Ovis aries: one gene and its partner. The protein of the gene in region 1 interacts with the protein of each later gene in a pairwise test. Links are inferred from orthologs where the notes say so. Each region holds a gene or a part of one and is shown on either strand. Other genes may lie near its edges. The genes, in order: CLK4 and UBL5.

What was found.
Region 2: the proteins of CLK4 (region 1) and UBL5 interact in a two-hybrid assay, tested with the Homo sapiens proteins (2 studies listed by BioGRID and IntAct). The link is inferred for Ovis aries from reciprocal best matches to the Homo sapiens genes CLK4 and UBL5.

What each region holds. Positions count from the first base shown.
Region 1 is NC_056058.1:37,441,441-37,445,811, forward strand, and holds the start of CLK4 (dual specificity protein kinase CLK4), read right to left. Parts: upstream 2,995-4,371; 5' UTR 2,910-2,994; intron 1-2,909. UniProt on the Homo sapiens protein: Dual specificity kinase acting on both serine/threonine and tyrosine-containing substrates.
Region 2 is NC_056058.1:12,275,474-12,279,088, forward strand, and holds UBL5 (ubiquitin-like protein 5), read left to right. Parts: upstream 1-1,607; 5' UTR 1,608-1,719; intron 1,720-1,966; 5' UTR 1,967-2,028; coding exon 2,029-2,084; intron 2,085-2,242; coding exon 2,243-2,326; intron 2,327-2,487; coding exon 2,488-2,525; intron 2,526-2,958; coding exon 2,959-3,002; 3' UTR 3,003-3,108; downstream 3,109-3,615. UniProt on the Homo sapiens protein: Ubiquitin-like protein that plays a role in cell proliferation and sister chromatid cohesion by associating with spliceosomal proteins. Participates thereby in pre-mRNA splicing by maintaining spliceosome integrity.

The DNA of each region.
Region 1 (4,371 bases):
TCTAAGATGTTTGTAGGTAATGTTTCTCAAGGCATGGGGGCACTATCCCACTGGTATGTCAGATGATTGATTCTAAGTGGCACACAGATCCTGATACTAAATGATAACACTGTGAGACCTTCATACTTTCTTTTTCAATTATTCTGGATAAATTCTCAGTTTGGTGCTTGTCTTCAACTAACATTCGCTAACTGCTATTTTAAAAATAAAGAGTCAGGATTCAGGCTTAGAGTCTTTCTCTTGTGTCTCCTGTCTTGGCAGGTGGATTCTTTACCACTGCACCATCTGGGAAGCTTTCTTACCTTTTTCCTATGGTAAATTACTAATAACCTCTTAAATTACTGCTATTATCAAACTCTAAGTTATTGATGTTAACTTTAAAGGTGAGCTAGTTTAAAACAAGTATCACCAAGTATAATGCACCTTTGGCAAAACACTGTAACACAAATAACTGAAGTCAGAGAAATACTTAGGGATACTAATACAGGAGATGACTTTGTTTTAAAGGTAAGAGCCACTAATGAAGATCCTTTTGCTCTGTCAAGAGTCCCATTCTCTAAATCTTGAGAATGACTCTCAGCTTTGAATAGAACTCAGGGTGTGAATAGAACACAGTATTCAACTGAGAACCTGAAGAGCAATAAAAAGCCATTTTATGAACTCATTTCTTCTAACCACAAGTTTATTTTCAAATCATCCTGGAGCCTTCTTAAAATTAAACATATCTGTTGTAGATCTGGCATGACTAAGAAAATGAACCTATAAGGACGAATATGGTCACACCGAAATCAGACAGCAACCTACAAACTTCATTAAGTTTTTTAGGATCTGTATTCTAACAAGTCATCTCTATGCCTCTCCACATCTTAGCTCTTTCACAAAGCAGCTTTGTTTTTAACAGCTGTCCAAACTCTGTTGAAGGCCCTGAGTTTCACAACCAAGCAAGGAGCTGAAAAAGGTAAACTGGAACAAAGCCAGCTTAGTTAACCTCCTTCAGTTTGACCAAATGACTCAGTAACAAGCAAATGAATTCAAGTAACACAACTTAAATGATTTCAAATGGTTTACAAAAGATTTTGAAATGAGGCATCTCCTGGGAGGTATTTCCTAAGAAAATATAGCTAAAATGCCATCAAAGCCTGAAGCCACTAATACTCAGGTCTTTTAACTCACTTCTCTTACTGATTCTAACGCTATGCCCATCACACATACTTCTGATATGCAGCTTCTCTTTTAGCTTGCTTTAAAAAAGACAGACAAGGCACTGGTTAAGTTAAACAAAAGCTCTAAAACTCTAGTTAGGGTTCTCACTGGAAATTGGTAAGTGAGCATTTGGATTTGACCTATTCATAGGTCATTTGAATATGGGAAACTGAAATAAATCACACTATAAATTAAGGAGCAAAAAAGACCATCAGAAAAGCCATAAAAAGAACTCTATTTTTAGTGGAATTCTTCTGACCCTTTGATTACCCCAACTGTATTTTAATCACAAAGGAACTTTAAAATTGCTTAGTTAAGCATTCTTAAATCATACCAAGCAAAATCCCATCTGATGTTTGATGCTTATTATTATGACTAATACATAGTTTTTGCAAAACATGTCTGCTTCAGTTTTTTCCTTCTACTGTCAGCCAGCCAAAACTAGCTCACCTGTGAACAAAACGTAATTCTTATATAACCAGTTATCAATGTGCAAATATTAAAATAACAGTCTTGGGAGAGCCAAAGTTTTTTATTTCTCTAGCCAAGTTCACTACTTTCGTTTTAATTCATGTTAGGAAGCCCTCCTTCACTGCTATTCAGAATTATTTTCTTAGGAGGCCAAGAAAAGAATCCCGGACCCAGGTTACACAAATTAAGTTCCTTCACATACAAAACAAAAAACAAAAACAAAAACCCAACCCCCTAAAATTACTGCATTACCTCTAACTAGTAAGAATTCTACATGTTAGAACCATCAGACATCTTCCAATAAAAACACCAGATACAAAAAACACCAGATATGTCTATATCCGTCTTGGAAACCTGATTCTCTACTGCCTTTTAACACTCTATTTTACCCAACAATTTTATATCTATATATATGGCTTTAAAATATCTATAAAGGTTAAAGTTATGATTAGATGGCTCCAAGAGGATGTACCTGATAACAAAAAGCCTGAAGGTGTATGTATGGAACACAAGCATACAAAGATAGCTATAAAATGAGATCAGGAGATTGACCCGGTCAGTTTGGAGTGCTGTTTCCAAAGGACAGGATAAGCATACCACGGTTGCTTAAGTAATGAAAGACAGTGTGATTCAAAAGCATCAGAAATGCAAATCTGCTGCAATAATGACACGCTCCACTTTAAAAAGTTTGCACAATGGATGAGTCTCTCCATATTTACATCTCATAAGCACGAGCTAAATTCCACCTGAACTCGCAGACTTGCCCTCGGACGCCCAGTCCACAGCCCCAGCCTATCCGCCAGGGCACTTGGCCAGGGCCTTTGGCGCACTTAAGAGATTTGACCCCGGAAAATCCCCGAATGCTACCAACAGCTGAGGACAGGCACCCAGGGGAAGGTTTGACCTAGGAGTATACTTGCTCCAGGCGGTTCTAGAAGGGTTCCAAGACAGGTCCTCTGACCGGCGGGACGAAGCACGGCCTAAGTTGCCATGATGCGAGAGGCCTGGGTGCTCTGAAAAAACCTAGCGGCAGAGCCGAGGCCTTTTATCCCTAAGATTTTAAATCTACTATGACGCCCGGGCAACTTTAGGTTTTAAATGTCACAAGCAGAGCTGTGTCCCAAGCGCACCCCGGTCGCCAAGGCCCCGAATCCCGTCGTTTTTCCGACACCTGGCTTCGAGACTTACAAAACTGGGAAGCCGCCCAGCCCAGAACACAGTGCCTGAAGCCTTACCTCCGCAAAAACAAAAGGCCCTTTGGCCGAGAATTGTCGGCAAACCGCCGTCTTCTCTCTCCAAAAGCTGCGACAAACACCCTACAAAATGGCGGCAGCGCCGTCTCCCTACAACCCCCCGGCAGCCTCTAGCGCCGCCCACACCAGGCGAACGCGCCTGCGTGACAGAGCTCCCGCGCTCCCTCCCCACCCCTAAGGGGCGGGCTCCACGTGACGTCAGGGCTGGCCCCGCCCTCCACCACGCAGTTCTCCCCGCCGAGCAGTCCGCGCCCTGAGACCTGCTTTGGTTGAGGCTGCGCCGTAGATTGTTTTCGTTCTGGGAGCACCTGGGTCAAACTGGGCGGAAACGCCCTAAGCTTGTGGCGCCTGCCTGCAGCTGTGGGAGGGGTTATTCTGAATGCTGCACCTCTCAGCAGAGGCGACGAAAGCTCCGTTTCCTGCCCTTCCGCCCAAGTGGGCCGCACCATGGCACTTTGGCTGCCTGCCTTCCGCCTACCGGAGGACCTCAGTTCAGTTCAGTCGCTGAGTCGTGTTCGACTTTTTACGACCCCATGAACCGCAGCACGCCAGGCCTCCCTGTCTATCACCAACTCCCGAAGTTTACTCAAACTCATATCCATTGAGTCAGTGATGGAATCCAACCATCTCATCCTCTGTCGTCCCCTTCTCCTCTGGCCCTCAATCCCTCAACTCAGGCACAGTCATCACGAAAGAGACAAGCCCCAAATCGGCTCGGTAACCAGGTCCAGACTGGTGCTGGGGATAGTGTAGTTGAGCCTGCTTGCAACTTCCTGTCTAAAAATGGATTCCGATAATTAAGAGGATAGCCTAGGAAACAAGCTCAGAGGTGCTTATCTTTTTAAGGTCTATGCTCCTGAGAGAAACAGCAACAAAAAGAGAAGTTTCTGTTGAGACTCCCTACCTGCCTCCTGAGCAGATTTGGCAGCTAAAGTTTCCCTAACAAAGTTTTCCCTTTTATTTACCCCTGTGGGTTTTATTCAAAGTACCAATGTGAAGTCGCTCAGTCGTGTCCGACTCTTTGCGACCCCATGGACTGTAGCCCACCAGGCTCCTCCATTCATGAAATTTTCTAGGCAAGAGTACTGGAGTGGGTTGCTATTTCCTTCTCCAGGGGATCTTCCCGACCCAGAGATCGAACCCAGGTTTCCAGGAGAATAATATTTGAGAACTAGTGAGCCCAGTTAAAACAAGATATTTCCCAGTTGTAAGAATCCCTGGACCGTTTCCCATTGTGAGCTTTATGTAAGAAAAGAGGGTCAAAATTTAAGCCCTAAGGAGCACTTACGGGGCAGGAAAAAAGCCTGAAAATGAATGATCAGAAGAAGAGGAGAACCGAAAGTTGGTGTCAGAGTAAGGTAGGAGTAAGGATCTGTGTGCTCCGTCGTTAAGTGGTGTCTGACTCTTTGCAACTCCATGGACTGTAGCCTGCCAGAGTCCTCTG
Region 2 (3,615 bases), about 25 Mb from region 1:
TCCTCTGTCCATGGGATTCTCCAAGCAAGAATACTGGAGTGGGGACGTGGTTCAATCCCTGGTCAGGGAACCAGATCCCACATGCCACAACTAAGGGTTTGCATGACACGTGCTGCCAAGTAAATAACTAAAAATAAATATTAATTAAAACAATTTTTTTAATGGAAGTTTACAGAAATACACTGAAAAAGGCTTCAACTCAGGAGAGAGAATGAGGCCAGGAGTGTGGTCTTACTTTTGGCTTGTACTTTTCCTTCTCCAGAGGATCTTCACGACCCAGGCAGGTGGGTTCTTTACCACTAGCGCCATCTGGAAGCCCGTTGAGACCATGCAGCTTAACATTAAGGAATGAGACTGAGGTTTTGATTCATCATCTGGATCTGTGTCTCCAATCTGAATAAACTTTCCATTAAGATTCCCTGCCCTCTGAAGCCCACTTAGTGGGATTCTGCAGAGGTTGGAGAAATAACAAATTTCTGCCCTGAGGCAGAAAAAAAGAAAAAGTCCTGAGGCAGGAAGGCCCTGGAGACTAGTGTTTGAGATGGCACTTCTTGAGCCAGTTCCTTAAGTCAGGGCAGCCCCAACAGGGTCGCAGAGTATCCATCCTTTCCCCAGGAAGGTATCTCAGGTCTTCTGCCTAATCTCACACCCTATTTTGAGAAGGTGGATTGGGTGAATCAGAAGTTGCCAGCCCCTTTTCAGAGTGAATCGTTTTAGGCTTGTCAAACTAGGAGAATTCTGTCTGCTGAGAAGAAACTGTTCAATAGTGAGTTCTACAGGCAGGTTGGATTTAGGAAGGGGTGTTCCCTGTCCCACCAGCTCTGGGGAACCATATCAGTCCGGGGGCTGCTCTGGGGCTGAAAAGCAAGGTTGGGATCTGGTACACAGCGCCCTCTGTAGGGCAGGAGCGACTTTCCTTGAAGTCAAAGATCTGGGAACTCTTGCACGTGTGCTGGTTTCCACCAGGTGGTTCCTCATCAGTGCTGCATTCTGGTAAGTGCTGAACTTCATTCTGGAGTGCTGGTAAGTGCTGGTACCCAGGCCAGAATCAGAAGACTCCTTCACTTACGGATTGTAGCCAGCAACCCAGATGTCCCTGGGGACAGGCGAGATAGCCAGAGGGGAGGGATTAGTAAAACGCTTCCGGGGTCCAGCCCTGAATGAAGGCAGGGGGACGTATAGTACAACTGCAGGACTTGATCCAGGCTCCCCGTAGCCCTGAAGCTTCTGTTAGAGACTTCGTTGGGCTCAGGAACAGGAGGTCAACCCTGTTCTCTCGGGATGTGCCTGGGCGTCCCCACCAGATGCTACACTAGAGGGTGTCTCGGCACAACGAAGGGCCTTCAACCAAGGGCCTCCGAAAGGCTGGACGCCGGTCCAAGACCTCTGACACTCCACTCCTCTCCCCAGCCGGGACCTTCACTCGGCCCAACGCTCCGTCCACAGGTGTCCCCCTGCCCAGGCTTGGAAGCCCAAAACCGCTCCTGGGAACTGCAAACCCACATCCTACCCTGGGATGAGCACTCCGCGGCGTGTTGACAGGCACCGGGGGGAGGGGTGGAGCTTCCGGCTGCGCACTTCCGCTTCCTGTTTTAGCGTAGGTTCTTAGTGTCTGCTCTGGCCTAGGCTTAGCAGTCGTGCTAGGAGGTTGTGGCGTCTGCTGCTTCCAGGCGATTTGAGGTGAGGGGGCCAGGTAGAGGAGTCCGGAGTCCGGGAAAGGTGAGGGGACCCGGCCTTCGAGGATCCGCCGGCCTGAGAGAGGCTCGGCTCGGTCTTCAGGCTACCTGGAGTGGGTCGGGGCCTGGGCGGGTTGCTGGAGGGGAGGAGCACGGCTGCCCGGCGTCCGCGGTAGCCCTGGGGTCCGAAGTCCTGGGACACGGAACTTGGAGCCTGGGGAGACTCCGATCTGGGGGAATGATGGGGACGTGAACGTTAAGTTTCAATAACCGGGGGTCTTGCGATCTAGGGGACCCCTGAAGTCCCGACTCAGTTGCCTCCCAGTCCCCGCCTTGTGTTGCTCCAGCCAGGATGATTGAGGTTGTTTGCAACGACCGTCTGGGGAAGAAAGTGCGCGTTAAGTGCAAGTATCCACTGGCGACCAAGTGGCTGTGGCTTCCTGGGGGTGCTTGGCATGAGGCAGGCAACTCAATCTTTGTTTTAGGGTGATTGTAGTTAAACCCGGGGGTTGGGGTGGGAATGGGGAGAGTCCCCTTTCCATTTTCCTTAACTCCTCTGCGTCCAGTACGGATGACACCATCGGGGACCTGAAGAAGCTGATCGCAGCCCAAACTGGCACCCGTTGGAACAAGATCGTATTGAAGAAGTGGTGAGTACAGGGGTCGAACTAGGGGCTGGACAGGAGCAGGCCAGAAGGGTTTGGTTGGGGGAGGGCTGCAGCCAGCCCTTTGTTTAGGCAGAACTTTTTTAGCTGGTCTCGGGGGTGAAGAGCCTCCTTAGACTTTTTTCTAAAAAGTTTTTATCCCACAGGTACACGATTTTTAAGGACCACGTGTCTCTTGGGGACTGTATCCTTTTTTGACTTTTTGAGGAAGGATCTACATACCCAGACTTGGTTCTCTATGTTCAATACTCAGGTCTGTATGAGGTTATGCACATAAGCTATTTAACTTAGAACGTGGCACATAGTAAGTATTTAGAGTGGGAGCCATCTCATTATTTTGTTGGGGGAGGAGGGTGGTTGGTGAAATATTTTGACTTGGCTTGTAAGACTTTGACACTTTCTGGTCAAAATATTTATTACTAAGCTCCACCTGAGTGGGGACAGGAGACCAGGGTGGAACGAGATTCCAGGATGTCTGTTGTGCAGAAGGAACATGAACTTTTTACAAAGTTTGGATTCGTTCCAAATCAAAATGATCCAGTCCCAAATGTGCAGTCGTGAGAGATGGGGATGGGGATGGAGCCCACCATAAGGATTCCTTAACACCTTCACTTCAGATGAAATCCACGATGGGATGAACCTGGAGCTTTATTACCAATAGAGCAGAATTCCTTCTTCCTGCCCTTCCCCCTCCTCCCACCCTCACTCCCCACACTAATATGGATGCTTGTTTTTGGAAACTCTCATTAATAAAAACTTAGAGGCTGCTTTGTTGTCATCTTTGAGTGAGACTTATCTCTTGAGGGGAGGGTTGGTATCTGGTTGTCACTGTATTCTCAGTACCCACTCAGCTGCTCAGTAAGACTTCAAGATTGGATCAAGGAGGGAGCCAGTTGACTGGGAACCTGAGTGAAAGACCAGAGCTCTGGGGCTAGCCATGTCTCTGAGCCTCCCTGGTGGCTCAGACAGTAAAGAATCCGCCTGCTATGCGGGAGACCTGGGTTTGATCCCCTGGAGAAGAGAATGGCAATCCATTGCTGTATTCTTGCCTGGAGAATTCCATGAACAGAGGAGCCGGGCAGGCTACAGTCCATGGGGTCACAAAGAGTTGGACACAACTGAGTGACTAACACTTTTCTGAAGGTCAAAAGATCCTGGGATTATTGTCATCAATAGACCAAGGATCCTCTGGGCAAGGACCTTAGTAGAATTAATAATTAGGAATACAGGTTTAGATTCAGACAGACTAGGGGTGGAACCCCAGCCCTACCACC